4 linked regions of the Alligator mississippiensis genome follow. The main gene of each other region encodes a partner of the protein of the gene in region 3 in a complex. Links are inferred from orthologs where the notes say so. Each region holds a gene or a part of one and is shown on either strand. Other genes may lie near its edges. The genes, in order: RAMP1, RAMP2, CALCR and RAMP3.

Region 1 (7,918 bases), on a different chromosome or scaffold from region 3:
GGTGTACTGGAGAGAGCTTTGTTTTCAGGACTAACCCTCCACACAAATCACAGTCTCATTTACTGTAATTGTACTCTTTAATGACTACAGAGCTCTAGTAAGCCCTTTTTGCATTCATTCAAATACAAAATTTACTCCAGTAACCAGACAGGTTGTGAACCAAGCCAGCTCATTACAGGAGTATCACAAATCACATTAATTTAAAAAACTGTTAGCCCCACCCATCTTCAGAAATGCCATGCATACTCTACAAGGGAACCTACCCAATGCCAAAAGAGGTGGTATAGTCTCAGGATAATAAATGAATGGATTTCAACATCTAGTGCAGTAACTCTCAACCTCTAGCCTCAAGGCATCCCTCTGAAAATGCCAGTTTGTATTTTTCACTTGCTTTTTGAATGCAGAAAAACAATAGAGCAATTCTTCTGTTGCAAAGAACTCAGAAAGACCATAACAGGCCAGAATGCTTTTAGCACCACGAATTCCTTGTGAATTTTCTTGCACATCCCATTTGTGTGTCTAATTGTGCTAATATTGTGTGGCACCCTTGAAAGGATCTTAAGACATCCTGAGGTGCTGTGGCACCCTGGTGAAAATCACGAATTTAATTAGATAACTTATCCCTAAAAGAACCTTAATTGTAACAGGGTAGAAGCAATGTCCACAATGACATCTCACAGTCGGTAAAAGGAGTATGTGTATTAAAGAGGGAAAAGGGAGGGGATTCTCCTTTGCATTTATGTAGTAGGCTGAGACTGAGTAGTGAAGTCTGTTGTACCAGAAGTCTCATCTGGAGAGAGTTAACAAGTGTTGCTGTAAGGAGGCTGTAGAAAATATGTCATTTACTCATGTAAATCTTCCATCTAAGCATTCATTCTTTCCACACCCCTCTCCTCCTCTACCTACTCCTTTTTTGCAATCTTTCTGGGGAGTCTGCCCCTAACAGCAGCCTTTCTTTTCTGGCCTGTCGTAGGGAGTAGGGTGGTCATAGAATCATAGACTCTTTGAAAGTTAGGGTTGGAAGGGACCTCAGGAGGTCATCTAGTCCAACCCCCTGCTCAAGGCAGAACCATCCCCAACTAGATCATTTCAGCCAGGGGTTTGTTGAACCAGGCCTTAAAAACTCTAAGGATGGCGATTCCACCACCTCTCTAGGTTCCTCCCTGTTAAATGGGTCTGAGTCACCCATGCCACACACAAACCTATGTAGGCTGCAAGGTGGTACATCCCCTGGCCTGTTGGTAGTTTTGTGTAGCAGATAGGTAATTCAACTAGCAGTCATGTAGCTAAAGTAGTGTTATGCATGTTCCACGAGCAGTGGCAGTGTGTAGGGGGTGCATGGGGATGCACGTGCACCCTCTGAGAGTGCTGGTGCACCCCCTGACAGGCAGCGCTCCCCGCTTAGGTGATAGGCAGGGGGGAGGCAGGAGCACCAGTGCACCCCCTGCGAGCACCAGCTGAGGATTGGGGGCACCAGGTGAAGTGCTGCTGGCACGTCCGGGGGCACTGCTCATGCTTCCTGGTTGGCGAGATCAACCGTGACTCAGGTGGCATCAGTCGCCTATGTCCATGAGCTAAGGGTCTAGAAGGTTCTAGAAAAGGTGAACTCTTTACCTTCAATGAGGTAATGACCTAGTTTGAAGGTCCAAGCACGTGCAGTTTAGTTACTTGTGTTTGTGCGAAAACTAGCAAGAAGTCGACGTGCATTCAGTACCTTTTCATGAGGTGATCAGGTGAGATGGGAACAGCCAGTGACTGACATGCGAGTGACAGTGCCTCTGAGAGAATGGTTGGTTATGAACGCGGCTGACAGAGGGGCTGTGACTGGAACTTATAAGAAGTTCTTTGGGTAAAGCTTTTATTTGACCAACTGAAATTCTTCTTTGCAAGCTTTCAGGCACAAGTACCCTTCGTCAGGCTGAGGAAGCATCTGCAGTTGGTGTGTACCCTGACGAAGAGTACTTGTACCCAAAAGCTTGCAAAGAAGAATTTTTCCAACTATTTGAGTTGGTCAAATAAAAGATACCAGCTTTACCCAAAGAACCCTGTCTGCCTGTGTCTTTAGACCAACACGGCTATGACCTGTACCCCTGCAACTTATAAAAGAGCTTGTATCTAAGACTCCGGGTATGTGTTGGGGGGGAGGATTCATTCTAATGTGGATGTGTGTGTGAGTCTGGGTGTGAGTGAGACTTTGTGAGGCATGACTAAGTGTTGTTTGATGTGCTGAATGGTTAGTATTATGGTTGTGTCTGTAAGAAAGCTTGGGTCAGTGGGTGAAACTCTGAGTTTGGTCGCTGTGTGGGTGTTATCTGGGTGGAGTGAAGCTCCCCAGTGACACAAACTTAGGACCCAATGCAACAGACTAGTGCTGAGTAGCCATTGCCCTTGAATGGTACAGTATCACACTCCCTTAAAAAGAGAAGACTGAGTACCTGAGGAGGGGGAAAAGCTTCTGGGAGAGTGGGAGCCTTGGGGTAGATCACTGTGGGTACAGTAATTGAGTGTTCATTTTCTAATAAAATTAAATCTAGGGGCATCTGAACCCCAAGACCTCCGGACTTGGGCCTGTACGTACAATGCCTACCGATGGATATGGGATTGTTTGAAGCCCCAGGGTGATAGGTCTGGGATGGAGGATTCTCACCAGTTGTAGGGCCGTACGTGGTGCTTAGAATGATTGAGTTCTGCCTGCTCAATCGATTTGGATTTTGGAACGATTGAGTTCTGTTCAGTCGATGTGATTTGGAACAGATTTGGCTAATTTGACCTGGAACATGAAATATATATTTTTTAAAACTTGTGCGTAGAGTTAAGCTAAGCTGATTGTGCCTGCAACTGAAACATCGTTGCAAGTGGGCAAAGGGTCTGCTCTCTCTTTCATATTTCTGTATCGCCCTTGTTGTTGTTGTTGTTGTCTATTATTGTTATAATATAGTCCTGTGGTTTTCAACTAATAAATGAGTCTATTTGTACTAATTAATTATTAAGCATTGAGGTAGGCTAGAGAGAAAGCTCCCACCATGAAAATCCTTTCCTGTATTGAACTTTGGAGGAGTAAGCCCTCAATTCTGTGAAGTTAATTGTGTAATTAACTAATTAAGAGTTCAGCTTTCAACACCTACTACTCCCAGATGCCCTAAAGTCATTGGAAAGAATCTGTTGACTTCAGTTTCTAATCAAAATCCAGTGGAACTAGAGGGTGTCTGGAGCCTCTTCCCCTTCCCCTTCCCCTTCCCCTTCTCCTCCTCCAAGGGCAGCTCTGCCTAAACTTGAGCTGGCTTAATCTTGAAATCTTAAGGAAGAGGGTTTCAGCCTGTGCTCTGGCCAGCCCTGGGCTTCCACAATAAGTCATCAGGGAGCTGGGGTAATGGCAGAGCAGAAGAGAGGCCGGGCCAGGAGGCCTGTGTCCCATCAGTCTTTCGGACAGGGGCAGAGGCTCCACAGCAGCAGAAATGACATGAAAGGGTTACGTGACTGTAGGATGTTTGAAAACCACTGCATGGTGTGGGGGAGGCAACACACCAGGTTAGGCCTGGAACAAAGCCTTTCTGGGATCCTACAGAAGGAAAAGTCCATTGTCCTACCCTAAGAACCTGGGCTAACAACAGACAACTGGTTTAACATGGGGTTGACGGGACCAGGATATGCTTCACGTCACGTGAGACACATTTTTTCCATGGAAGGTGTAATGAACTCGAATGAGTTGCCATTGTTCCAAGGCAAAGTTAACTGGGGCTGGCTTAGTGCTGCCTAACTGGCCCAAGGGGCTGGTCCTGTCCCACGGCAGTGTCTGTAGTTTGCTCAAGCCTGAATTAAGCCATGCATCTGTGTTTAGCCTGCAGAGTACCTGGCTCGGCCCTGGACACCTAGGACACATTCCCGGTCATCACCCTTCAAGCTGTAGGGTGAAGGGCCTGCCTGGGGCTTGCTTCTATATGAGTCTGTTTTGAGGCAAGTCAGCACTGCCAGGTCTTAAATATGAAGTTATCCTATTGGAAGCTCAAAATGATCGTATTTGTTGAAAAACTATAGTGCACTGAAAAAGTATACTAATAAATATGCAACTAAGTCCTCATCTTGTTTACTTTATATTGCTCACTGTAAGCCATCAGGGAGGGAGGGAGAACTGGGTCATCAGAGTTGAAGGATTTCTTTATTTTGAGGCAAGTAGTCATAAGAAAGTGCTGATAACAAGCTCAAAAGTCAGTTAAGACTCCCAGGGTGCATCTATGCATGCACACTTACCGCGTGGTAATTTAGGCAAATTTAGCCAAAAAGTAGTGCGTCTGGGTGTGCATCTACTGCGCAGTAACCATGGTGATGTATGCCCACTTGGGCAGACATTTGATACCTGCATGACGCAGGTGTCAAATTCACGCCCCAATCATTACTGTGCAGTAACCAACGTGTAGACAACGCCTTCCCGTGCAGTGGTGCGCTGTGTGTGTGTGTGTGTGTGGACTGACTTGGGACTAACTTTAGACGTGGCGTTACTGCCCTTTAACAGCTGCACGTGTAGATACCTGGCTAAAGAGCCGCTTAACCTGGGAGAAGTTGCGGGGCAGTAAATGCCCGGTAGACGTGCCCCCTGAGTGATTCGGGCTTGGGGATGCGGCATCAGCGGGCTGCCGCCAGACTCACCCTACCTGTGCTGTTGCTGATGTCGAGGGAGGCTGGGGAAGGCGGCGCACACCCGGCGGCTGCGCGGGGCGGGCTGGCTGCCGCGCTCGCGCCGCCCGTCCCCGTCCTGTCCCGTGCCGTGCCGTGCCGTGCCCGGCGCGCGGGAACCTCTGACGGCCGCCCTCCCGCCGCACTGCTGTGCGTCGCCCCCGCGGGGCGGGATCCCCGTCCCCGTCCCCCCCCCCCCCCCGGAGGCGCCAGGCTGCGGATAAAGCGCTCCCTCCCGAGCCCGCACCCGCGTGGATGGTGCCCCGGCCGCGGCGATGGCTCTGCTCCCCAGGCGCTTCCTCTGCTTCCTGCTGGGTAAGTGGCGGTGCCCCCTCGTCGCGGGGCTTCGCCCTCGCTCGTGCCGCGGACCCCCGACCCCCGAGGGAGAGGCCGGCATGACCCGCCCGCCGCTTGCCCCGCCCGGGACCTTCTTCGCCCCTGACATGTCACCAGCAAGCTCGTCCCTTGCTGATCGGCGGTGAGGGGCCGGGGGGCAGTCCGCCTCCGGTGCTGCTGTGACCGCCCCGGAGCTGAACACCGGGGCCAGCACTGGAACCAGCCCGACAGGCTTTGTGGAGGCAGAGGAAAACCAGCCCTGCTGCGGTTTGGGCACTGGCCAGTGTAATGGTTGTGTGGCGGGGGCGCAGGACACACCTGTGGTTAGGTGTCGGGCACATGCCCGCTTCATGTCTGAAGTGCCCTGGCCCCGCTAGATGCCACCCTGCCCCCTGACTGGTCTGGTGGCTGCTAGCCCGGAAACCTGGCCACTGGAAAACCCATCTGTGAGCAAACGGGATCTGTGGATACTTTGGCAAACTAGAGAAACTGCTGCTGTTCAGAAACCTGTATGAATTTTCCATGCATGTTCTGAAAAGACTTTATTTTTTTAATCCTAAAGGCTAACATTTACTACCGTTCTCATTCTTGGTGATCCACTATAACGTCACCCGTCCTTACCTTTTCCCTAAAGTCTGACCCGTGTGAGAGTGTCTGTACTGTCATCTTCAGTTCTGCTTCCAAAGGCCAGTAGAGATTAAAATGGAATTTAATTCTAAAATGGCAAAGAATTCAAAGTGAATATTTCACCTGGCAAAGTAAATATTTCACCTGGCACTGACTGTGTCAGTTGGAAATGCCACCTGGATCTGTCTTGTTTGCATTTACTTGTCTGCTTAAAGGAATATCAGGTCTCTGAAGCAGGTTTATGTTCACAGCTTTTCCTCTCCTTTCCTCTCGCCACCCACATTGATACAGACTAAGCCATTAGTAAATTATATAGTTGTTTTCCCTAGTTTTCCATTTCTGCCATGTACAAACCAGTATGTTGAGGACATCATTGGAATTGCCTGTCTTGAGAAATGCTGCTGATGCTAAATGAGGTATCAGAGCATATAAAAGGTTGTTTTAAGTCTGCGTCTGAAGATTTTTTTTCTGGTTTTGTTTTGCTAAATATTTTTCATGTGGCATCTTGTCTCATGCTTTTGTTACTAGAGTTACAGGTGCAACAGGTAGAAACTCGTGTCATTACTGTAAGTATCTCTAGCATAAAAGCTTTGAAGAATCATATATCGGTGTGTTTTGTAATAGTGAATGCATTTGAGTTTCATTAACCTTTAAAGGTAAGCCACATTAAAACTGTTCGATACTGATTTGAAATATAACATTCATCGTGGAATCCGAAGATTGAGGAAGCTTCTATTTCCTTTTTACCTTCCTTTCATTCTTCCACACTGTTTTCCTCTTCAAAACCCTAGTAAATAATGTATTGAGCTGTGCTGCATATAATGGTCTTACCTGTACAACATAATTAACTATTTACCACTTTTTAGCATGTGACTATTCACAAAGAAATAGAAGATGGCACAAGTTAGACTAAACCCATTCTCCATGTTCACTTTTAAAGAGAGACTCACAGTCCATGATTAAATAGTAAATAGTAACATTTTGAAACTATGCAATAAATAGTATACATGGAAGCCTAGTATTAATGCCAATACATAGTAATTCTCATTCATCTAGGACACAGGTTCTGATGTCTCTTTCCAGTTTTTTTTAAATTGTAAATCTTCCTGTCAGACTTTATCAAAGCAGCTGTTAGGAAAATGATAGATAACATGTGAGCTTTAGTTTTGTGTTACATTTTAGAAAATCTTCTTAAATTGAATAATATGAATAAAATCAAAATAAATAAGTAAAATTAGTGTTGATATTATGCAAGTATAAAGCCCAGTCCTACAACGTGCTAAATCTCTGAAATCCTATCCCCTGCACTGGAAATTGCCTTAACAATTGGGACTCACACATATACTTATTGGTACCTTTTTAGCGTTAATGTTGCCCTTTGATTACTTCATAGGATGATTTTTTCAGTGCAGGCAAGGTGCAACCAAATGACTCTGGAAAGCCAAAAGAATACAATGTAAATTGTACCTCTATTGAGGCTGTCTAATGCACAGTATCTGTTCTATTTCCACATATTGTCCTATAGACTGCTTATATTGCACTAGCGGAATATAAATACGGTACTAAAATGAATCAGGCATTAATAAATACATCATATGAAAATAAAAGCTTTGCAATACATACTCTAATACATCCTTGTTTCCTGAGTGTTACCCTAGTTTTAGTTTTGTCTACTGACTGACTTTTTGATTTTAACTAGGAAGTAACAGGAGTGCTGTCAGTTAATGTAACTTTGTAAAATAAGAGCATCTCATTCACTTACTACTTAGTATCTTTATTATTTTTCATTTTCACTAGTCCTTCTCCTTACCACCAAAAGTGGTCTGTGCTAAAGATAACTTCTGAGTACCCCCTTTCTTTTTAAGTGGTTTAATATATTATCTGCCACCATTGTACAATAAGTATTTAGCCAGATACATTTAATAGCTGATAACAAGGAATTAACATTTTCAAATCTAGGTCTGTTTATTCTTGCTGAATCCCTAAGGGCTTGGCAGGATCACAGTTCTAAGTATATTAGTCCAGATTTTCTTAAAACGGTGGTGGTTCCTGTACAGGAGTTATACCAATATAGGAAGCATACGTATTTTAGGCACATAGACCATTTCTCTGTGACAGACAACAGTTAATTGGGGTGTGTGAGTTCCATTCTGGTGGGTACATTTGTCCTTTGCTATCTCTTTCTTGTGCTATTTTTTTGTGCATACCGCATACTGTACTATTAAAGGAGCAGTCTATTTTTTTTTCTTTCCAATTTAGAGCACTGTATATTATTTATAGCTGC
Region 2 (6,899 bases), on a different chromosome or scaffold from region 3:
TTGTGTGGCAGTCCCACCATGGCATACCTTGCTCCCAAGAGCCACTGGGGAGGATGAAAAATCAAAGAATGAAAAACAGGAGTGAAAGGGAGCTCAGCAGGTGATGTAGATCAGTCCCTTGCTCCAGGCAGGACTTGGACTCAAAAGGAGATGTGTTGTAAGGACTTGCTTCATCCATCCCTGCAGTTCTGTCTCTCTGGGCACTGCCCCAAAGCACCCTCTGGCCTGTGATGTTTGGGAGAAGCTGGGGGTAGCTGTAGGCACGGGGCTAGTGACATAGGTGGTATATTTCTTGGGCTTGGTCAACAGTAGTGTAGAGGTCAAGATTTGCAGAACCAGCCTCTGATACTTGGTACCCAGATGGTTCTGGGCAGCCTGATGGCTACAGGGAACCAAATGCTTGTTGCTGTCAGCTCAGCTGGCACAGCGGTGCTCAGGACCCCTCCTGCCCTGGCCCCAGAGTTTCACCCAGCATCCCCACTGCTCCCTGCTACATCCTTCTTTCTGCAACTCTTGGGTGCAGTAAAGGCTATATGCAAATGAAACGGCATGGCATGGCATTGCACGCATGGTGAGTGCATTGGCCATGGAAAGGCACGTAGCACCTGCAGCAGTTGGGAGCACTGGGCAGGGTACCACCCTGCACCAATTCCACAGGGAGATGAATTGGGCATAAGACAGGTAGCTCTAAGGCTAAGCTTGGGAGCAGAAAGGGAAAGAGGAGGGGACAATCGAAGTGAAGTATGTAATTAGGGGAAGAGCTGGGTTGGGAGGTGTTGGGACCCAAAGGCTTCTGGGCCCAGCTTGATAATACTGGCAATTGGCAAGAGACTACTGTCTGTTTGCTGCATGCTTGTTCTTAGCTGCAACCCAGCAGAAATGTGACAGACAGGTCACCCTGACCGTGACCTGTCCCTGCTAAAGGAAAAGAAGACATCTGGAAGGATCCTGGTTGGATGACCAAAAGCTAATCAGGAAGTTGGCTAACTAAACTGAATAAAAATAACTTGGCAAAAGAGGAACAGTCAGAGCAAAATCCTACTGCCACCTAAGAACAAAAAGATTACCTCAGAATTAAAAAAATTCCAGTTAAAGGTAACCATATATGGCAAGCGGAAATCAGCTCGTTAATATGCATTGTAGGGAAGAGTTTATGCTAATATATTAATAGTAATCAGCAGCGATAAGGTATATAAGTACAACCCAGCTTTTCCCCTAATCACATGCTTCACTGTCTTCCTAGGGTAGTGGCTGGACCTGTTCCTCCTACAATGCCATGTCTAAACCTCCCTTGAGATTTCAGGGGAGAGAAGAAACCGGTCTTCATGACCTGGACTGCTATTGGCTGCCAGCACCCACTGTGATGGTGCAGAGCAGATGAGCCTACCTTGCCGGTCTGGCTGGAAAGTGGACCTGGGTTAGGGAAGCTGTCTTCTTGACCTTTCCTTCCTCATGGGGACCTGGTCTATGACACAGCAGAGCTGGGAGGCAGTGGGTTGGGGGCTGTTTGTGGTACACTGCCCAGTGGGGGCTGCTCTATGGCATGGCAAGACTGACAGTCCAGTCCCTGAAATTGCAAGGCTGGGAGGACTGGTTAGTGCCATTCCAGAGATGGCAGGATTGGCTCACTGCTTGGCAGTGCTGGGGGATCCAGTCTGTGGCATGCTGAGGCTTGGGGCTGGTCTGTGGTATGCCAGGGCTAAGGGACATCTGGCTACTTGCTGTTTCTCTACCTACTTTTGCATTTATGAGATCTCACAGGCAGCAGTACTTCCTCTTCCCACCACAGTTTTGCCATGGGAGCAAGTCTGAGGCTCAGTGACAAGTTGCATGCCCCTGGGGAGGGGAAGGTGGGAGGGCAGGCAGACTGGTGGAAGACAGGGGTGCCCACAGTCAAAGTATCGCCAGCACTTTTCTGTCCAGGGCCCAGGCAGGTCATCCTACCATTGATTCAGACAGAGGCTTGCAGGTTTGGGACCTTTCAGTGCGTGTTTTGCCATCCCAAATGTCCCTAATGGTCATGATGATAATAAACAGGGGAAAACGAGGGGAAGCAGGAAGAGGTGCCCAGAGCCAGGCAGCAGCATTTGCATACCTTCCATGATGCAGGCTCAGCTGCAAGGAGAAGCATGATGTTACACATGCTCACATAGAGCTCTCGCAAGCAGCTCCCCTGCACAGACGCACACCAACCCCACGGCCAGGACTCGCACCAGACACGTGTGCTAAACGTGCTTCCCACTGCTCACAAGCACCCTGCCAGCCTAGCCTCCTGCTGGATTCCCATCCCCTTCACACAGGGGGGGACCGAGGCATAGAGACACAGGTCGTCAGAGCCAGAGCCGGTGCTGAAGCCCAGGAGCCCTGTCTCAGAAAGGTAAAAAGGACTCCCCGGAGCCTTCTCCTCTCTGTGGGTTAGTGATTCATTTTTTATATTTGTGTGCTGCCGTCTCCAGAAGAGGCTCAGGAACTGTCCCACTTTTCATTGGGGCTGCTGTCCCTGCCCTTCTCCCTGCTCCCCTGTACAGAGGGGTCACTGAACCTGGTCAGCAGCACGCACTGCCCTGCCATGCAGAGCTCCCCTGGCTGGAGGCTGTCACACAGAGGGAGAGAATATTTGATCTAGAGTCAGTAAAGAGGGCACATTGCTGGAAGGGGAGAAGCCATGCTTGCTCCTGCAAAGTTGCACTTGGGGCTCCCCTACTTTGCAGTCCCACCCCAAAAAGAGGTGAATATAGCCAGGCTTCAGCAGGGGTCACAGCTCAGAGAGGCTGCAGCCAAATCTAACATGTCATATAGCCCAAATCTGTGAACCCTTCCACCCCTTAAAGGCCCCTGGCAGGGAGAAGAGCCAGCCCCAGGCAGCCCCACATCGGGCTGGGCTCAGCCAGAATTGCACTTACCCCAGAGCAGCAGTAGGAGCCCCCGGGAAAGGCAGCCAGAGTCTGTCTCTTTGCATAGTGCCATCCTACAAAGTCTGCCTGCTAATGACCAGGACAAGTATTTCAATGGAAATAACAGGAAGCAACTCCTTTCCTCTGACAGGGGTGGTATCTACTACAGGAGACGTGTGAAAACTGAGATTACTCAGTGCTGCTTTAAAACAGATCTCCCAGTGGGACTCTTGTCAGAACAGTGCAACCACTGGGCCCCCATGCTGCTAGGTGTGTGCTTGGCGCCTATGGGCACCGATCCTCACCACCCAGAGCTGCCCCAGCCTTGGGGTACCTCTGTCACTTTACCCACACATCTGGCCAGTGGCAGGGAGAACTCTGCTCCCTTTACAGCACATAAAACTTTTACAAGGCCCATTATTTGTTTGTGTATTTCACTTTAATCCTGTCTGGGCTGGGTTGTGAAATCACCAGTCTCCTGCATGGAGAGCAGGCAGCCCGGGGGAGTGGATGGGGAAAGTGTAATATCTCAGTTGGGCACTGATATTAGTGAGCTATGCAGTTTGTAGGCTCGGAGGCAGGTTTGGGGAGCTTCAAAACCAACAGCCCTATGTCTGCTGCTACTACCTCAAGACCATCTCTCAGCATTTACCTCTGAACCCAGTCTGAACACCACTGCTCAGGGGGTAATCTTTCCACCCTCTCCAGCCCCCTGGAAAGCAGTGAGGAAGACAGCACTTGTTGCCCCCTCCCCGCCCCCAAAAGTGCCAGGAAGCCTCACACCATCACAAGAAAACCCTGGGGGAATTCGTGTTTACCAAAGTGGGGGAGCCCAGCAGCTGCTCAAGGCAAGAAAAAAGAGCAAGCACCCACCCCATTGCTCTGCTGATTCCCTCCACTCCTGATTCCTGGTCCCTGCTTGCCCAGCCTTGGGCTCCCCAACCTCACAGCTCTGCTGGTGCCCCTCACTCCTGCCCCCAGCCCCTGTTAGCCCAGCCCTGGGCTACCACAAACAGAAATGAATGGCTAGTCCGAATGACACTGCACAGTGTATTTGTTCTGTGATGTGCTCGTAGGGGGAAACATGCTGAGACCAGACACACTCATCTCACTTCTGGCTTGAGGCAGAATTTGAGCCTAATGTTTCCTGTTTAGCAGGCAGTTTGTGGAGCTCACAAACCGTGTGTAAACTGCAGGGCAAAAGGACTGCAGCTAAGAGGAACCCTCCCTGCACTGGAAAGATAATATCACTCTGCGTTTTGTGCTTTCCCTGCAAATGTCCTTGCCTAATGGGCCAATTGTCTCTGGGCTGCGCAGTAGTAGCTTGTTCCAGGACACTGCAAGATCTTCCATGGGAGAGTGGCCGCATCTGGAACACATAATGACCCGCACATGAAACTCCTGGGGTGTGCTCAGGGGTTAGAGCCCCTCGATCCCATTCTTTGTTGTCTGCACACTTGGAGCCGAGCCTCGAGTTCTGCAGATGGTGTTTCCTTGCCAAGGCAACACCCACTGATGTCATCTGGAGTACTGCCGCTTGAACAGGGCCATGCTTGTCACTCATGTGTGACGCTCCCAGCCAGGACTGGCCGTGGAGGAGTCCCTAGTGCACAGATCCAGGCTGGAGCAGTTCCACAAGCCCGACTGCCTCGCTTTGCCAGGCAAACACCATGTTCTTTGCTGATCCCTGAGGAGGAACTCTAGTGGGGCAAAGTGACCAGTGAGTGGCAGGCTGATGACAACGTGATCCCAAAGTGCCAGGATCCTGAGAGGGGAGCCAGGGGTGGAGAGGAGCCCATTCGTATTCTTGCACCCTCCTGGTCATGCCTGTCAGTGCTACCTGACTGATAGGGGCCAGGCTGTGCCTCCAGGCTTGCAGGGAGTCTTCTTTCTCCATCTAGGCTGGAGCCTTTCTGGGCAGGGAGAACCCACACCAGAGTGAACAATAAACACTTCTCCTGGCGCTCAGCCTCCAGCCCCTCCCAGCAAGACCTGGAGAAGTCAGCACAGAACCACAGAGCAAGCCCCAAGGCCCTGGTGCAGAGTGGGAAGGGTCTCACAGTGAGTCAATGGCAGAGCTTTGAATGGATCCCAGGAGTCCTGACCTCCAGCCTCCTGCACTGTAACCTACTGGACCTCATCTCCCCCCTACACTTTCAGGGCTAGGACCCCAGAGTCCTGACTAACCCTTTGCTAGAGAGCCTTTGGGCCCCATTCCCCTCCCACCTACATCTAGTAGTAGAGCCCAGGAGACCTGACCTCCAGTCCAGTCCCACCCCTATTATTTTAAACTTGATCCTGGTGTCTTCCCGATCCCTCCTGTATTCAGCTGGCTCCAGATACACATTAGATCAGGGGACTTTACACAGTGATGGGTGGGCAAGCATTTGCGACCTGTCTGCTGCTGTGGACCACTGCTCCCCCCTAGCATGCCCCTCCACAGTACCCCAGCTGCCTGCTGCTGTCTCTGTCATGAACCCCACCTCCACCACCTGCACTGTATGTTGCTGGTGCCCACTATCCACCAGCAGCAATGGGGAGGAGCAAATTTGGCAGCAACAATAAGCAGTGCCTGCTGTAGGGAGCCAAAGAGACAGCAGGAGGGAGGACTACGCGGGGTGCTACAGGTAGCATCTTGCTGAGGCTTCTGGTGTGCAAACAACTCTCTTGATTATGTACTTAAAGAACTATTGACATTAGAGAGGTAACAGTCTCCCTACTGCCCTTGCAAGGTCTGGGGTCTGCCCTTATTGTGGTCCTGCCACACCAGGAAGTTCCTGCTGGTCCCACCCAGATTATCTCCTAAAATGCCATGCTTCCTGGATCCTTTCTGTTTCCAAGAGGACTTACTCTGTGTTATGTTGAGGAGGCACAGTGCAGAGTGGAGAAGGAGGACGCACTGGGCCAAGCTGAGCTGTGTACTGCCAATCCCCTGTGCCACCATGGGCCCAACTGGACCATCACCGGCTACATCTAGTCCCTTTGTGGGCTGGGATGGCCAGTGAGACATAGGTTGCTGATACTTGTACTAGACCCTATTCCTTGGGTGGGCAAAATATGGCCCATGGACCGGATCCAGCCCATGGAGCAATTTTGTCTGGCCCACAATGGGTTCCTCAGCCCCGCCTGGCCCAGGCACGGGGGGAATCCAGGTTGTGACATGTGCCTGGGTGCAATGCAGGGCTGGGATGGTGCAGCTGCTGGATTCAGCACCGCTGGCCAGGCACCCTGGCCCTTCCACCCTGCACCCACCGACAGGGGGAGGGTGCTTAGCCAGGCAGCTGGGTTGGGGTTGCAGGCTGGTGGGGAGTGGTGTTTGGAAGTGGGATGGGCTGAGGAGACCCTGGGATCTTGGGGCAGTGACAGCATGGGGACCAGGCTGGGGCAGAGCTGCAATCTGTTCTCTGCCCGTGGAACCCACTCTCATCACAGGGGTGTGTGGGCACCAGATCATGGCTCTGCCCTGCCCCATGATCCTGGCCTTGCTTGCCCCTCCCACTCCTGAACACTGCTCCCAGCTTGCCCACAGGTTTTGGTGCAGTTGCTGTATGAGGATGGGGGTGCTAACCTGGCCCACAACACCTCAACAAACTCCCTTTGTGGTCCATGGGCCCAAGTAACTGCCCACCCCTGCCCTATTCCCTGCTAGACCCAACACTCTACCCTATAGCAGGCCTGTGTTCACAGACCTCTGCTCGAAGCACTGGACACTCTTTCCCTTTCTGATTTGTCCTTAAGGCTGTTATGTACAATGTCCTTTGTCTCCTAAGCCTGGAGAAGGGTACAAGGAGCACACAGGGGTGAGGCTGGGTCCCGTTATGGTTCTGGCTCAGCTCTCCTGCTTTTGCGGAGAGTGAGAGCAACTGCGAGGGGGGTCAGACAAATCGACAGAGTGGCCAGAGCGTGGATAGTCCTGACGGGAGGCTCAAGGGGCCCAGAGCTTTCAGCTGCTGTGCAGTTGGGGAAATATTCCATATGGATCTGCAGGAAGAAGGAATCAAGAGT
Region 3 (7,408 bases):
GGTGGCAGTGCAGGGCACTGGGTGTCAGTGGCCGCTGCTGTATACAAGCTCCCCTCCCCCCCATTCCTGGGAGACGGTGGTAGGGTTGGCAGAGGGGGCATGGGGCCGGAGGCAGAGTGGTGGCACCGTAGGGCGCTGGATGTTGGCACTCTGTCCCTGCGCGCCCCCCTCCCCAATCATTCTTGACAGACAGTTGTCTAGTATCTTTATTAATGATCTGGAAGATGGCATAGATTGCACCTTCAGCACATTTGTAGATGACACTAAGCTGGGGAGTATAGTAGATACACTGGAGGGTAGGGCTAGGATTCAGAGTGACCTAGACAAGTTGGAGGTTTGGGCCAAAAGAAATCTCATAAAGTTCAACAAGCACTAGTACAAAGTCCTGCACTTAGGAGGGAAGAATCCCATGCACCACTACAGCCTGAGGACTGACTGGCTAAGCAGAAGCTCTGCAGAAAAGGATCTGGGGGTTACAGTGGACAGTAAGCTGGATGAGTCAACAGCATGCCCTTGTTGCCAAGAAGGCTAACAGCATACTAGGTTGCATTATTAGGAGTGTTGACAACAGATCACGGAAAGTAATTATTCCCCTCTATTCCGCACTGGTGAGGCCACATCTGGAGTAGTGTGTCCAGTTTTGTGCCCCCTGCTATAGAAAGGATGTGGACAAATTGAACAGAGCCCAGCGAGAGCAACAAAACGGAGGGGATTTGACAGCAGCCTTTAACTATGTGATGGGTGTTTCCAAAGAGAATGGAGAGCTAGAGTATTCTTAGTGGTGACAGATGATAGAACAACAAATAATGGTCTCAAGTTGCAGCATGGGAGGTTTAGGTTGGAGACTGGGAAAAACTAGGAAAAACTCTCTCACTCTGAGGGTGGTGAAGCATTGGAACAAGTTACCTGGAGAGGTGGTGAAATCTCCATCCTTAGAGGTTTTAAAGGCCTGGCTAGATGAAGTTTTGGCTGGGATGATCTAGTTGAGGATGGTCCTGCTTTGAGCAGGGAGGTGGACTAGATGACCTGAGATCCCTTCCAACTCCATTGTTCTATGATTTTAACTTAAAAGAAATCATTCAGGTAATGGTGTCTGACCTAAACGACACCCAAACTGGCAGTCTCAATAAGATTGGACTCTTCTACCTCCTGCTCTACCTACCTCTTCTACCTACAGCTCTAGAGTCAGAGCAGATGTATTTGCAGACAATACAGTGAAACCTGTATTTCAGCTGCTACAACTTGTACTGCAATTATTCTCTGAATAAACAGAGCCTTTCATCCCCAGACTCTTTAGTTCAATTAGTCATTTTAAGGAGTATAAAATTAACTCTAAAAAGACATTCTTCTCCTTTTGGAGAGTAATTTAAAATCTTCATACAAGAGATGTTCTAACACCCATTTCCCATTGTCGTCAATGAGAGCTGATTAGGCCCCATGTGTTACAACTGAAGACAGACAAAATATATAATTTTTAAATAAATCTTGTAATTATATAGGGAAGATGGTACTGAGTAAGCCATAGAAAGATAACTATACCATTTTTTTTTAAGTTGGCTTATTTGATAGCTGGGGGAAGGGAGGAAGGAAAAATCACAGCATTTTGAGTGCTGGATTTTCAGATTTAACATTCTGTATTTATGAAACAGTAATACCTCAAAAGGATAACTATTTCAGCTATCTACCCTTCACAATAAGCCAAAGATAACTGTAATGATCCAGTGTTATAATTAAAACCAGAATAAAATTACCATGCGATAGTTAACAGATTTTCAGTAGATATTTAATATGGGCCTGATCATCATCTATTACTCATGCTGAGTAGTAATTATTCATGCTCATAGTCCAAAGAAACTCAGTGGGACTTCTTGTGAGAGTGCTAATCAATGTGAATAAGAGTTGCAGATCTGTGCAGTCTTGTGAACTAATGGTTATCCAAGATAGGAATGTACTCAAAGAAAAAAACTTGGAAGAGCTATTTCCAGATTATGGGATGCCAGATGTATTTTGGCAGATGTACAGTGCTTAATGCAAAAAAATAGTGCAACATAAAATCAGATTTGAAATGCATATAAAATAGAGCTTGAAGAATACAACACTTTCTAGCCAAAGCACTGAAAATGAGGTGGCAGAGAACAACACATAAAATGATAAGATTAGCCCACCAATAAAGCAAGAGGTAAGAAAATGAACCTCTTGTTCTGGGGCTGCTGCTGCAAGTGTGGTGCCTGTACCCCATCTATATCTTTTCTAGCAAGCTGTGACCAGTATGAGGTCTCCTTGAGACCCTGGAAAAGAGAAGTAATTCTCTTCTCTTGGTCTTTACAGACTTCCTTGCTACTCTGAACATCCTGTAGCATTGCTAGGTTTTTTGAATACTTCCAATACCTGTTGCTGCTGTTCCTCACAGCTTTCCTAGGACAGTAATGTGTCCCAACAAGACTGACAAGATTCTCACCAACTCACAGTTTTCATAACAGCAACATTATAACTAATGAAAACTGTCCCCAATTTAACTATACCCCTGCTTGAGAAAACTATGAGCAGTGATGGCACAACTGTCCTATTTTCATGGACTCATAACAACTCTATACAGGTTCACAAGAACAAAAACATTAAAGCAAAAGATTAAATTTAGAAGAAAGTGATGATTTAATACACTGCTTCCCACTCATTAGGGAACATGCTCTACACTGGAAATACGAGTTATGGACATACTTTACCTCTGACAGAAGACAACTCGCTTCTAGAGCAAGACTAGTAGAATGAGCATGGTGCCACCTTCTTGAGCAGGTTGTTAAAAATGTTCTTTCTTCCCATGGTCACCTGCTGGTAGGAGGTCCCACCACCTGTTATCTGCAGTGGAAAATTTGGAAGCTGGAGAAATGGATTTAAAAAAGATGATTTGAGGAGTTCTAATGAAAACATTGATATAATATATATATGTGGTATTATTTTCTAAAGAATACACCTACAGAAAAGTACCACTGGAAATGGAAAGAGAGATCATTTTTATGCATCTTTCACTTCCAGATACCTTCTTAACCTAGTTGCCTGAGCCTTCATTATTTTCCTTTCTTTTCTGTGAAATATTACTTTATGCAGATAGATATATATTTTCCCACTATTCATTTAATATTTTTATTGGGAAAACATCACTGAATTTGCAAACATCAGCCAATTCAACTCCATTGATGATATCTCATCTAATCACCTGTAGAGCTGAGTTAAAGTAATCCAGGGTCTCTGCAGATTAGCTGTGACTTCCTTTTTCCTGGCCCACTGTTTTGTCTCCATCCAGGAACAGGGACGCCTCAGTTAAGTAGAGAATGTATCCAGGCAATGTTTTTTTTTTTCTGGTTCTGGTGAATAACTTATTCTCACACACAAAAAAATGTGGTTGCAGTTGACCTGAATCGATTTGTGAATTTGGATCAAATTTGCTTTGCAGTTGACCTGAATCTATTTAGCAAATTTGATCCAAATTCACAAATACGTTCAGCTAAAGCACATGGAGAAAGAGAGGCTGATTTCCATGAAAGGTTCTTTTTTATCCAGTAGCCAAGTGATTAGGACTTCAGTTAGGATGAGCTGACCCAAGATCAATTCCCTCTGCCCGAGGAAAATTGAGGAGGAGGGGAACCTCACAGGTGTAGGTGCTACCCACCACCATTAAAATCATTGTCTTTTCTGTAGTGACTAGTGAAGTATTAGGTGTATACTGAAACGTTGAAACAAACAAACAAAAAAAGACAGAAGGAGCCTTATCTTGGAAGACATAGGCTGGTGGGAGATAACACAGAATATAAGCAGGTGCAATTCAGGCTGTTGCCTCCCATCAAACCAGGTCTGGACAATGGTTTACAGAGGTAGTTTGAACGGCAGCTACCTCGAATTAACCCGGATAGACAGTCTTGTGGGGGCACCCCCCCGGTACTTCAAGTGGGCTGATGAGTGGGAGTGTCTGTGGGATCCCAGGGTCAATTTTTTTTTTCTGGGGTAAAACCAGTGGTCTGGCTTTTAGCCTCCGCTTCTTCCTCCCAGTCAAGGAATGAGTGGATGCGGATGCCCCGTGTCAGAGGACTGGCACCACGGGGTGACTCCGCGGCAGGTCTCCCACGGTCCCTGCTGCTGCAGCTCGTCCACCTCACGTGCTGCTCGTGGCGGCGGAGAGCAGGCACGAGGAGGGCTCCCGCCGCTTCCCCCGTGCCCACGTGAGTATCTTCTGCCCAGAAAAGCAGCATCTCCCGGTGCTGGTCCGCGTCCCCGGAGCCCCCCCCAGCTAGAGGCGGGAAGCGCCCTCGCTCGCCCGCTCCTCGCCCCGCCGCCGCTCTCGTAAGATGGCTGAAGCGGCTCGGACGGAGGCCGGGGTCTGAGCCCCTCCAGTCCAGTCCGGTCCGGTCCGGCCCGGCCCGGCCCGGCCCGGCCCGCGCCCACCCCCGAGGCGGGGCCCCCTCCCCTTTAAAGCCGCCGCGGGGCTCGGCCGGCCCCGCTGCCGCCTGTCTCCCCGGCCGGGACCGGGCGGCGCGGGGAGGAGCGATTCCGGCTCCCCCGCCCCCGCCCTGCGCCGGAGACGCGGCTGCACCGGGCTCGGCGGCCGCAGAGCGAGGCGGATGCGCCCCCGGGGCCGGGGCGTGCAGCGCCGGAGCCGCCGCGGGGCCATGCCGGGCTGAGCAGCCGCCGCCGCGAGACGGGGAGTCGAGGCGCTCGCCCCACGTCGCTGCTTCGCCCGGGGCCGGGAGCCGGGGCCAGGGGCCGGGACGCGGCGCTTCAGGTGGGTCTGAAGTGCCCCGGCGGGCGGGCGGGCGCTGCCGGCGCCTCCCTCGGGGGCGGGTCCCGCAGCCCGGCAGGCGCCTGCGGGGTCTCCGGCGGGCGGCAGCTGGCCCTCCCGGGCGCTGGAGTGGCCCCGAGTCCTTCATTTCCCGGTTCAAACGCTCGCCCGGTGCCGCGCGGGTCGCCTGCCAGCCAGTGCTCGGACGGGGAGGGTGCGGGGCTTGTTACCGCTTACAAACGGGCGTGTTAAAGATGGCATGTAACAGCGTGGCGAGTGTATGTACAGCGACATGAAGAACGGGCAGGGGCTTTCCTGCGCCAGTCCTCGGGAAGCGGGGCTGGAGGGGACCTCCCGCGGTCACTTTGTCCAGCCGCTGCCAGAGGCAGGACCATCCCTGCCCAAACCATCTTGTACCAGCTACAGCCCCATAGCGCACCTCTGCGTAAGAGCTGCCCTCGCTTTGTGTCCTCACCTTCAATGCAAGCCCCTTCTTTTCAGTATCTTGTCTCTGAACATCTGCGTTTCTTCTGTTCCCATGGTGCTGCGTTGGGTTCTTGGCCAGAGGTAATTTTTGACCCTTTATTTATTGAAACCATGACGGCTTTTTAAGTTTTTGTATCTTTTCATGTGTCAGATGATTATACTTTTGGATTGAAAGGATGAAAACCCAAATAGTAGGATGCTGGGAGGGGATGAGCGTAAAGCTCAAGTGTGTGTAGCTCAATTGCTACGTATTACTTTGTATATCTTTATTTTTGCAGACCTCTAGTTTTAAGGTAGCTCTCTAGACATGAAGAATACTCCAGTGGGCGGTGTTCATAGAAGTGTTTTTGCTTGTGATTGATGGGCAGAATGGGAGGAGTTGGCAATGAGGTGAACATGTTTGGCACATTGACTTGTCGATCTCATTTATTGATTTATTTTAGGGACTTGATGAAATAAAAGTTTTTTTCCTAATCTTCTAAGACAAGTTAAGTGGACATAGAATCCTTTTTATTTGGTCAAACGGGAGGATTGTCGTTTGTTCTAATGCTGTGACTGTCTCGGTGCTGAATAACATATTTCTCTCTGACCAGCAAACTGTAGATAATGTCACACTGAAAAGAGAATTTAATTTACTGTTCAAGGTTCTAGACATATTTGCAGAGAAGCTAAATTAAATGCATGAGAGCTAATGTTTCATTTTAGACATCTGACAACCTTTAGCAGTAGGTGACCCTTACTATGTTTATCTTTATGATGCTTGCTGTTTTGTCATGTTGGTTGACAGCAATTTATTCTGGATAAACCAAAACTCAACACTTCAAGTAACAGATACACAGAAGAAAAGTGTGCATTGAGTTATATCGAATTAAATCCTGGCCCTCTTGAAATCTGTGGCAAAACACCCATAATGCCAAAAATGGCAATATTTTGCTATGGGGGGTGGGGATGGGTGTTGGGGTTTTTGCTGGATCATTATTACTTATGGCTGAGTGCCAGCCAGCTTAGAGTTGAAACTGAGGTAACAAAATCTGAATTGGGTTAATACTAGTTTGCACTAGCACAATTCCATTGTTGTTCAATTTTGGGTGATAGCCAGACATCATGTTTTAATATTAAAAGTCCTCTATATATAGTAAGTGGCACTTATTAATGTGTGTGTATGTATATAATATATACATAGAGAGAGCAGGCTGAATAGACTTGCAAAAGGCTGACTGAGTACAATTCTGATGTTTTTATCAGAACGCATCATAAATTAGATGGCAGTCTGGTTTTCTGCTGTATTTTAGTACAACTAATTAAACAGTGAACAGTTTCTTAAAACATTATTTATCTGAAATGGAAAATATGGTTAGTGAACTTTTTTGACTGGATGAAAAACAACATTTTTATAAGAGTTTGTTCTTGAGGTCTGTGACACAATGGGAGTTTAAGGAAGTCAGTATCTCTGAGAACTGACTTGCAGGGTTGAGCCGTTATTTTAGGGTTTAATCCTCTAATTTTGTTGTCCACTGAAATAAATTACCTGCTATCTGAAACTATTTTGATGGATCTGGCTTTATTTTGGATATTTTTCTAATGATTGAAGATGGTCAGTTTTGTAAAGACTGAAAATTGAGAAATAATCTACCTAGTGCTTTGCAGACTTATAGCCCCATCTTCCTACCAGAATAGAATGAAACTTCTCTTAAGAACTAGACTTTCCACTATGATGATTTTTATATCAGGAATTCTGTGTTTGTACTGTTTTATGTATAGGACACACATCTGACCCATTACCTTCATATAATAAAAGTAACAGGATAATAAAGAGAATAGACCCATTCTGCTCTGCCAAGGCACGTTAGTTCTAGGGATTCCAAAAAGAAATCCACCAACTTCCTATTACTTGTGACAACTTGGTCCAGTCTCACTGCCACTGAGGCCAGTGTTGAAATTCCCATGGATAGCGTTATATAATGCAGGACTGTCCTGCAAGGAATGAAGAACTTTTACTTGCTGTTGTTATTTTCTGTTATTTGTATTGCAGTAGTACCAAGGGCCACACCTCTGTTAGGATTTCTGTATAAATGTGAAGTAATTAATATTGTGGCTAGAACAACTGGCAAATTAAGGGAAATTAAAACGGGGCAACAGGAAAAGTAAGCT
Region 4 (7,077 bases), about 57 Mb from region 3:
AGAAATTTGTTTTCAGTATCTATGGGCACTGACAAATGTGACTATCTGTCGTACAGTCGGCCACTGAAAGCACTCTACAGCTGTGCACTGACAGAAGTTCACGGCTGCAGAGCACTTTAAAAAATGCCAGATCACATGACAATCTGAACCCTCATTTCATCGGGGTTTACATGAGGGCACTCCAAAGTGGAGCACCTTCATTAATGCCTGTCAGCGTGGGCCAGGAGCAGGCCTAAGCTGACACAACCCAACCCTGCTCTGGGAATTTTTTTTCAGAATGGGAGGGGAGGGGTGGGGGGGGAGTGAGCCAGCTGGAGGGTGGGGTGGGTGGGTTGGAGTCCCCCCTGTCCCTTCACTCCAGGCTGGGGAAACCCCAGAATTGATCTCCCTCCCTTGCCTTATCTCCTCACCCTCCCTTATCCTAGGATAGCACTGGAGCTTGGAAAGGAGGGTGGGGTTAGGGGACAGACATTGCAGACAAGCAGCCTCTCTCCCCAGTTCAACTCCAAAGTGGAACTCAACCCCTACCCTCCCAATCCAACAGCAAATGTCTGTTGGGTTGGGAGGGTCAGTTTACAACTCATGGGGCTTTCTGTGAAGCACCATAGTTAAAACGGGAAACTGCATATCTGCCAGTGCCCTCAAAGGCTGAATGCTCGACATGATGCTGCTTTCTTTGGAGGCAGCCTTTATAGGAGTTGCAACAAATCAGGCTTTTCAGATGATAAGGGGTATGACATTTTAAGTACATAATTGCATAATTGGCATCATAGGATTTTTCATTTGAAGGGGGTAGGGTGTGTGTGTGTGTGTGTATGCGTGCTCTCTCTTGCACTCTCTCACACACACATGCACACCCCCCCTCGTTTGTATGAGAAATGTTGTCATTTCTTACTCATAACTGCCAAATATAAATTTCACAGCTTTTCTGAAGAAGCAAATTAGTTAGCGCTATCAATATTAATGGTTTGAGAGAGAGAAGTTTGTGTTACGAGGGGAAAGCCCATACATAATTACAGTGACATTATGAAAAAAGTGTTAATTTTATAGCATTTCTGTTTACAAGCTGTTCCCAAATACATAGACATCTAAGAATTATTCATTTTAGTTCAGTGTGCTGAAAATGTCAGCTTAAGTAGCTGGCTTATGAATTTTAAATAGCTTTACCATCTCCAAACTAGTGTGCTTGCCTATAAATTTCAGTTGTTCTGTACTGGAATTTCACTGGCATTCCATGAAGTAAACAGAAAATGTGGAACGTCTATTGAATTTTACGAGTTAAAAAAAGAATTATTTCACATAAATTTGCTACTACTGTTATGCAGGATATCTTCTCTCCTGAAGATGTATGAACAGAAATACTTGCTGCATTATTTACAAACAAACTGTAGTTCTAGATCAGAAATATTTGTTACATTTCAGCAACACTTCTGTACCATCTGCCATAGAAACTTGGATTTCCTTAAACTATTAAGCACCATACATCCTACCACTTGGGAATATTAATCCTGGCAAAATATATGATTTGTAAGAGAAATTTGAAATATGACAATCCTGTTCCTTATTATTATTACTGTAGGAAATATAATGGTCATTTATTACAGACTAGTTAATCAGAACTTCCTTATGATAATGGGATGGCTTTTGGATTCTCTTGCTTCTCCCAAAACACAGGTGCTTGCTAACTACAGCATTGCTGCATGATCTCCATTAGCTATTTGTTATCTAAAACCTTAAATATTTCATTGACTCCCCTTTTATCAATGGCATGTGCAAAGTAAGAAATTCATTATTCACAACTTCTTTAAAAATTAATTGCAGATATGTACTACAGTGTCTTGGACTTTTAATTTAAAGGTTAGATGAATTCTTTTCCATTTTTCTCAATTTGGTTAATAAAATAGCATGGTCAGTTTATTTTTTTGTTTATAGTCCATTTCATTTTCAGATGCACATGCAGTGCGCCAATGTTAAGTTTGAGTCACAAATGCTGCCTGGGCCTTTGAAAATTGTGCAGAAACACTGTTTTCATGGCATTGTTTGGTATGAGAGGAAATGCATTCTCATGTGTGTGTACATACATAAACTCATGGAAATCTATGCACAGATGTGCACATATTTGCATTAGGTTGTATAAAAAAAAGAATGTACTTTTGTGATTAATCTTGACCATATCAGTGACCATGTTTTCCTTTACTACTTAAATGTAATTCTCCAGATGCAGTTCTTCTGCTTATCTAGACATACTTTCTGGCTGTTTATTAAACTGACCAGCATAACTGTTTTTGGCTGTCTTGGTAAGTCTCCAGAAAGTGTTTTTTACTTCTTCCCCCTGGCCTTTCTTAGCTAGGATGCTAATTTCCCAATACTTATAGATCAAAAAAATACACAAAGTTTAAATATTAATGAAAATGAGCAAATAAATCCCTCTGGACGTGGCCATGCTAAGATGAAATGGCATCATTAAAATACATTAAGCCCTTACTTAAAGCCCTAGCTATTCTGTTTTGGAATATACCTTTCATGAGCACCACTGCTGCCAAGTTGCAGCACTCATTTGCAAATACATATTCACACTTCAGCTCTGTACACCGGGGACTCAGCTGCAAGGAGTGAAAGCAGCAAGTTCTATCTAGGATTTCTTGAGGATATATTGACAACATTTCCTAAAAGCAGGATGTTGGCTGCATGGTACCCCTTCTTTATTTGTGGCAGGGCTGTGTTGGCAGAAGTCTTATATAGAGTTTATATTATGGATTGTATAGGAGAGTTTGGATAGGGATGATCCTGCCTCAAGCAGGGGCTTGGACTAGATCAGTGGCTCATAATCTTTTTTTGAACTAGGACCCATTTGTAAACATTGGGCAGGCCTGACCCACTTAAATAGTTTAAGTGAAAAAACAGCCCCCAGGCCCTGCCTGTGCCCCTCACTCCTGACCCAACCCTGACCCTGGACCCCCAGTGTTTGGGGCAGGGGGAAGTATGTGGGGTGGGAGGGGGCCCAAGCAGCCCCTTGCAGACTGGAATTCTGCCAGCCTGCAAAGGGAACCCATGTTTCAAAAGAATCATAGATGTCATAGACATTAGAGCTGGAAGAGACCTCCTGAGATCATCAAGTCCAGCCCCCTGCCCAAGGGGCAGGAAGTCAGCTGGGGTCAGATCACCCCAGCAACATAAGCATCCAAGTGTTTCTTAAAGGTATCTAGAGTAGGTGCTTGCACCACTTCTGGGGGGAGTCTATACCAGACTCTGGAGACTCGGTAAAGAAATGTTTCCCTATGTCCACTCTAAAACAATCTTCCAGCAGATTGTGACCATTAGACTGTGTCTTCCCTTGGGGTGCCCTGGTGAACAGCCATTCTCTTAGTTTTTTTCTGATGAACCCCCCACAAAAGAGTTACTATTTGATATCCCGGAGATTTTCCCACACTTTTCTCCTTTAAAGGAGAAAACATTTTTAAAGCTTTTTGTGGCCTTTTCATATATTCCTGCGACCCACGGGTTAAGAAAGACTGGATTAGACCCCTGGAGGTCCTTTCCAGTCCTACTTCTCTATGAGTCTGCAACTCCAGGTGCTCCTCTGCATCATCCCAGTCTTTAAAATATCTTGGCAGAGGAAGCTTGTGCCAAGATTGCCCCTGCTTAGGGGCAGGCAGTCCCTTGAGAGCTCTGGATCTTGCTGCCCTTGGTCCTTTCCTTGCTGAAGGAGATGCTTGGAGGCAATGGATTTATTCGCCAGTGAGTGCCCCAATCTCACTGGAAAGGAAAGGATGGGAAGGGAGGGTAAGTGCAGACTAGGCAGAGGCTCCCTAATCACAGAGGCTCCACTAGAGCCTGTGTGGCATCAGGCACATCATGTCCCTGGGAGGCACAGAGGCACAGAGAGCAGTGCATGCACCCCCAGCTCCCTCCTCAGCTTCACTCTCCTGCTCAAGCCCTCCTCCTCCTCTAACTTCCCATCGGCTGCCTTGGAGGATCCCAGAAGAGCCACAACATCCTCCTCCCAATCTAGGCGGGCTGGAGGAGGCGGGGGGAGCATAGGAAATGGGAGTTGGGAGTTCACTGGTGCCGAGAGGCTGCTGAGCAGATCACATCTCGGGACAGAGCGGAGGAGGAGGAGGAGAGGGGCTGGGGGAGAGATCGCACGTCCCATCCACCCTTCCCACCCCTGCGCTTGCCGCTGCTCGGGCTCTGATGCGGAGGAGCCGCCTTGCCGGAGAGATCGGGGTTGATCCGAAGTGGCTGCGGACCTGCCGCCCTTCCTCCTCCTCCCCATGAGGGCTCTTTCCCCCAGAGGCTCCTGGTTGCTTCCCCTGCTGCCTCCGGGGTCGGGATGGAGACGCCTGCTTTCTGGCTAGTGCAACTTTTCCTCTGCCTGCTGTGCGGTGAGTACATCCCTGCCGGGTGGGATCAGCTCCGGCAAAAAAAAAAAAAAAAAAAGGGGGGGGAGGCAGGGAAATGCAGGGCAGCAGCCCCTGCGGGGGGAGCAGCACTTCAAGCAGGGGTGCTAATGAGTTAGCAATGATTTGCTGGGAAAGTTTGAGATTTAACTCTCAGCCTTAGTTCAAAGGGGAATGACAAACCACCCTATGAACTTCACTACTGGAGACAAAAAGTCAGCGCTAAACATAGAATTGGATTTAGGGTATATTATAACCTGCCTGCCATCGGATACCCCCCAGGTAACCTGTCTGCATTTTACCAGCTACGTTTTATCACCAGCTCAACCCCCCGCATCTACCTGGGTTCTCACCTCTTGTCTCCCATCCCCTCTGATTCTCACTGCCAGGCATTTGCATTTTCACAGACTTTGATTTTGCATACTGCCTTCTATTCAACCCAGGAGAGCACTAAACCTGTTCCAGCCTTTTGCACTGAAAAGCCCCATACTAGTCTCCCAAAACACCAGCAGTCTCCCAATGCCTGAAGAAGGGTGTTTGTGCCAGAAAGCTTGCAAAAGACCATTTTTTCCAACTATTTAGTTGGTCTAATAAAAGGTATCATATCTACCCAAAGAACCTCATCAGCCTTAGTTCTATTTCACTAGCAGCTCAAGCATTTCTGGGTTTCCCTTGGCAGGAGAAAGAGATCAACTTCTCTCTCCCTCTCATTTTTTTTCTTCTCCCCCCCCCCCCCCCCCCAGTATTTTAGGCTGGTGATTTTTTCCCCCCCTTGCTGGAGAGGCAGAGCCCTTCCGGAGTGGTGATTTTCAAGCAGGGTTTATTGCAACCTAGGAGGAAAACCCTAATAAAACTTCCACCACCTCCTTCCCAACTCCCAAGCTCCCTCGGGATCGTTCAGTGACAGTCTCCCATCAGAAAGGCCTGCTGTGTTTTGGGAGAGTAGTAGGGGTCTTTCCAGTGCAAAAGGCATTTTTTTTTGCAGCAATATTAATTGTTCCAGAGCAGGCTTCGCTGGTGATCTCGGTGGCTGGAACTCTGTTTTGAAAAGAGAGACTGCAGAAAGGCTCTGTAAGATACTGACCCTCCTTATGCCCGAAGAAGGGTGTTTGTGCCCAAAAGCTTGAAAAGAACATTTTTTTCCAACTGTCTAGGTGGTCTAATAAAAGAGATCACATCTACCCAAAGAACCGTGTCTGTAAGATACTAGATCTTGAGAGAGGACTTTTCAAAGAGCAGAAGGAATCTCTTCCTGGTGAAAGCAACCCTGGGACTGGATCTGTGATAGTGTCTTGTGAGGAGAGAAGATGTCTCCAGGCTCTGCTTCCCTCTCCCCATCCCCACGCCTTATCAATGAGTTGTACAGTGTCAGATGTGTATATTTTGCCTCCAGTGTTGGTGATGCTGATGCTGCGTCTGGCAGGGAAACGCCTTCTAATTGCACAGCAGATGCTTGATGTGAGTTCCAGAGAGCAAGAGGGAAATAAACACAGTTTGAGACCAGACCAAACAAACCATCCAGAAAAGTGTTAACCGAATTGTGGCTGTTGTGGATGCTTATGCACAAAGCAGATGGCTTCCCCTCCCACACCCCTTTGTTGCAATGGTCCAAACTCAGGTTGCACGTTTCCCTGAAATATAGTTCAAAATAATCATCTTTGATGTGGCAGCACGCGCGCGTGCGCACACACACACACACACACACACACACACACACACACACACACACACTTTGCCTAGGTCCTGCAGCAGACAGACACACATGGATACATATATACATATGTACACACACTTGGATGCCTAGATCCTGCAGCAGAAACAGGCACACACACATGGATGCCTAGGTCCTCCAGCACACACAGATGCACACTTTGATACAGTATTGCCAACCCCACCATGCCAAAAATCATGAGATTGGCATGTAAATCATGCAATGCTATTTTTGAAGTGTGTGTGTGTCTGGGGGGGGATGTTATTTGTGAAGGTGCGGGGGACTGTGGGGGTGTGTGTGGGGTTTGGAGTCTGGAGAGGGGGGTCCCCACACACCCTGGCAGGAGGCCAGGTACTGTGGGTTAGGAGTGAGAAGCAGCAGCTGGGCTGGGTGGGCTGTGGCTTGGGAGTAAGGAGCAGACACGCAGAGACATTGACATATACACAGACAATACCCAGCTGGTAAGTGGAGGGAAATGGGTAGGGGGGGCCAGATCGAGGCATGGGTGAATGGGGCCCTGGGGCCAGGCCAGGTCATCCAGTGGCATGGCAGAGGGGCGTGACCCCCCGCAGCAGTGCACACCCCTGGGGAGGCATGGGGCACGTGCCCTCTATGGGACAGAGGCAGGCTGCCTGCTGCAGGCTGGGCTCTGCTGCCTTGCACCAGGAGCTCAGCTGTGCAATACTATTGCCACCTGTTAAGCAGGCAGGGGACATGAGGTGTGCTGGCTGCATGGCTCATCCCCCTGCCCCCTCGTGGCAGGAGGCACACAGGGCAAGGCAGCAGGGTGCAAAGCCCCAGCTTGCAGTAGGCAACCCGCTTTGATGCCCTGAACCTGCAGTGGACACACGGGCACACGTGCACACACACATTTGTATGCCTAGATCCTGCAGCCAACATGCACATGGACACATGCATACATGCTTTGAAGCCTAGATCCTGCAGCAGACACATACACACATACAC

Evidence for each region.
Region 1: the proteins of CALCR (region 3) and RAMP1 are in contact, whole or in part, in a cryo-EM structure (PDB 9AUC), measured with the Homo sapiens proteins. The link is inferred for Alligator mississippiensis from reciprocal best matches to the Homo sapiens genes CALCR and RAMP1. Residues at the interface, in NP_001158210.1 of Homo sapiens: Arg45, Lys46, Met49, Asp50, Gln52, Tyr53, Tyr56, Asp57, Met59, Gln60, Gln61, Thr75, Trp76, Asp77, Gly78, Asn124, Arg126, Phe235, Leu238, Ile242, Thr246, Val250, Ala251, Gln257, Arg258, Trp261, Tyr262, Leu265, Phe269, Ile276; in NP_005846.1 of Homo sapiens: Trp59, Ile63, Tyr66, Arg67, Ala70, Asp71, Phe83, Trp84, Pro85, Val89, Asp90, Phe93, Leu94, His97, Gly98, Phe101, Ser103, Arg109, Ala110, Val111, Arg112, Asp113, Pro114, Ile118, Leu119, Phe122, Ile123, Pro126, Ile127, Val129.
Region 2: the proteins of CALCR (region 3) and RAMP2 are in contact, whole or in part, in a cryo-EM structure (PDB 7TYX), measured with the Homo sapiens proteins. The link is inferred for Alligator mississippiensis from reciprocal best matches to the Homo sapiens genes CALCR and RAMP2. Residues at the interface, in NP_001158210.1 of Homo sapiens: Arg45, Lys46, Met48, Met49, Asp50, Gln52, Tyr53, Lys54, Tyr56, Asp57, Met59, Gln60, Trp76, Gly78, Arg126, Phe235, Leu238, Ile242, Thr246, Val250, Glu255, Lys256, Gln257, Arg258, Trp261, Tyr262, Leu264, Leu265, Phe269, Pro273; in NP_005845.2 of Homo sapiens: Trp86, Tyr93, Ser94, Arg97, Asp98, Glu101, Leu109, Pro112, Glu117, Ile120, Phe121, His124, Phe128, Cys131, Pro136, Phe138, Ser139, Asp140, Pro141, Leu146, Met149, Ile150, Pro153, Ile154, Leu156, Ile157, Leu160, Ile161, Leu163, Val164.
Region 4: the proteins of CALCR (region 3) and RAMP3 are in contact, whole or in part, in a cryo-EM structure (PDB 8F0K), measured with the Homo sapiens proteins. The link is inferred for Alligator mississippiensis from reciprocal best matches to the Homo sapiens genes CALCR and RAMP3. Residues at the interface, in NP_001158210.1 of Homo sapiens: Arg45, Lys46, Met49, Asp50, Gln52, Tyr53, Lys54, Tyr56, Asp57, Met59, Gln60, Arg74, Thr75, Trp76, Asp77, Gly78, Asn124, Arg126, Phe235, Leu238, Ile242, Thr246, Gln257, Arg258, Trp261, Tyr262, Leu264, Leu265, Phe269, Ile276; in NP_005847.1 of Homo sapiens: Cys57, Leu59, Ile63, Tyr66, Glu67, Thr70, Tyr83, Trp84, Pro85, Gln90, Ile93, Thr94, His97, Arg98, Phe101, Ser102, Cys104, Val106, His110, Leu111, Glu112, Asp113, Pro114, Val118, Leu119, Leu122, Ile123, Pro126, Val127, Leu129.

What each region holds. Positions count from the first base shown.
Region 1 is NC_081827.1:187,002,090-187,010,007, forward strand, and holds the start of RAMP1 (receptor activity-modifying protein 1), read left to right. Parts: upstream 1-4,906; 5' UTR 4,907-4,946; coding exon of another isoform or gene 4,947-4,986; intron 4,987-7,918. UniProt on the Homo sapiens protein: Accessory protein that interacts with and modulates the function of G-protein coupled receptors including calcitonin gene-related peptide type 1 receptor (CALCRL) and calcitonin receptor (CALCR). Required for the transport of CALCRL to the plasma membrane.
Region 2 is NC_081827.1:152,179,408-152,186,306, reverse strand, and holds the start of RAMP2 (receptor activity-modifying protein 2), read right to left. Parts: upstream 3,013-6,899; 5' UTR 2,968-3,012; coding exon 2,904-2,967; intron 45-2,903; coding exon 1-44. UniProt on the Homo sapiens protein: Accessory protein that interacts with and modulates the function of G-protein coupled receptors including calcitonin gene-related peptide type 1 receptor (CALCRL) and calcitonin receptor (CALCR). Required for the transport of CALCRL to the plasma membrane.
Region 3 is NC_081828.1:174,341,583-174,348,990, forward strand, and holds the start of CALCR (calcitonin receptor), read left to right. Parts: upstream 1-4,405; 5' UTR 4,406-4,774; intron 4,775-4,873; exon of another isoform or gene 4,874-5,251; coding exon of another isoform or gene 5,252-5,338; intron 5,339-7,408. UniProt on the Homo sapiens protein: G protein-coupled receptor activated by ligand peptides amylin (IAPP), calcitonin (CT/CALCA) and calcitonin gene-related peptide type 1 (CGRP1/CALCA).
Region 4 is NC_081828.1:117,398,054-117,405,130, reverse strand, and holds the start of RAMP3 (receptor activity-modifying protein 3), read left to right. Parts: upstream 1-4,062; 5' UTR 4,063-4,333; coding exon 4,334-4,385; intron 4,386-7,077. UniProt on the Homo sapiens protein: Accessory protein that interacts with and modulates the function of G-protein coupled receptors including calcitonin gene-related peptide type 1 receptor (CALCRL), calcitonin receptor (CALCR) and G-protein coupled estrogen receptor 1 (GPER1).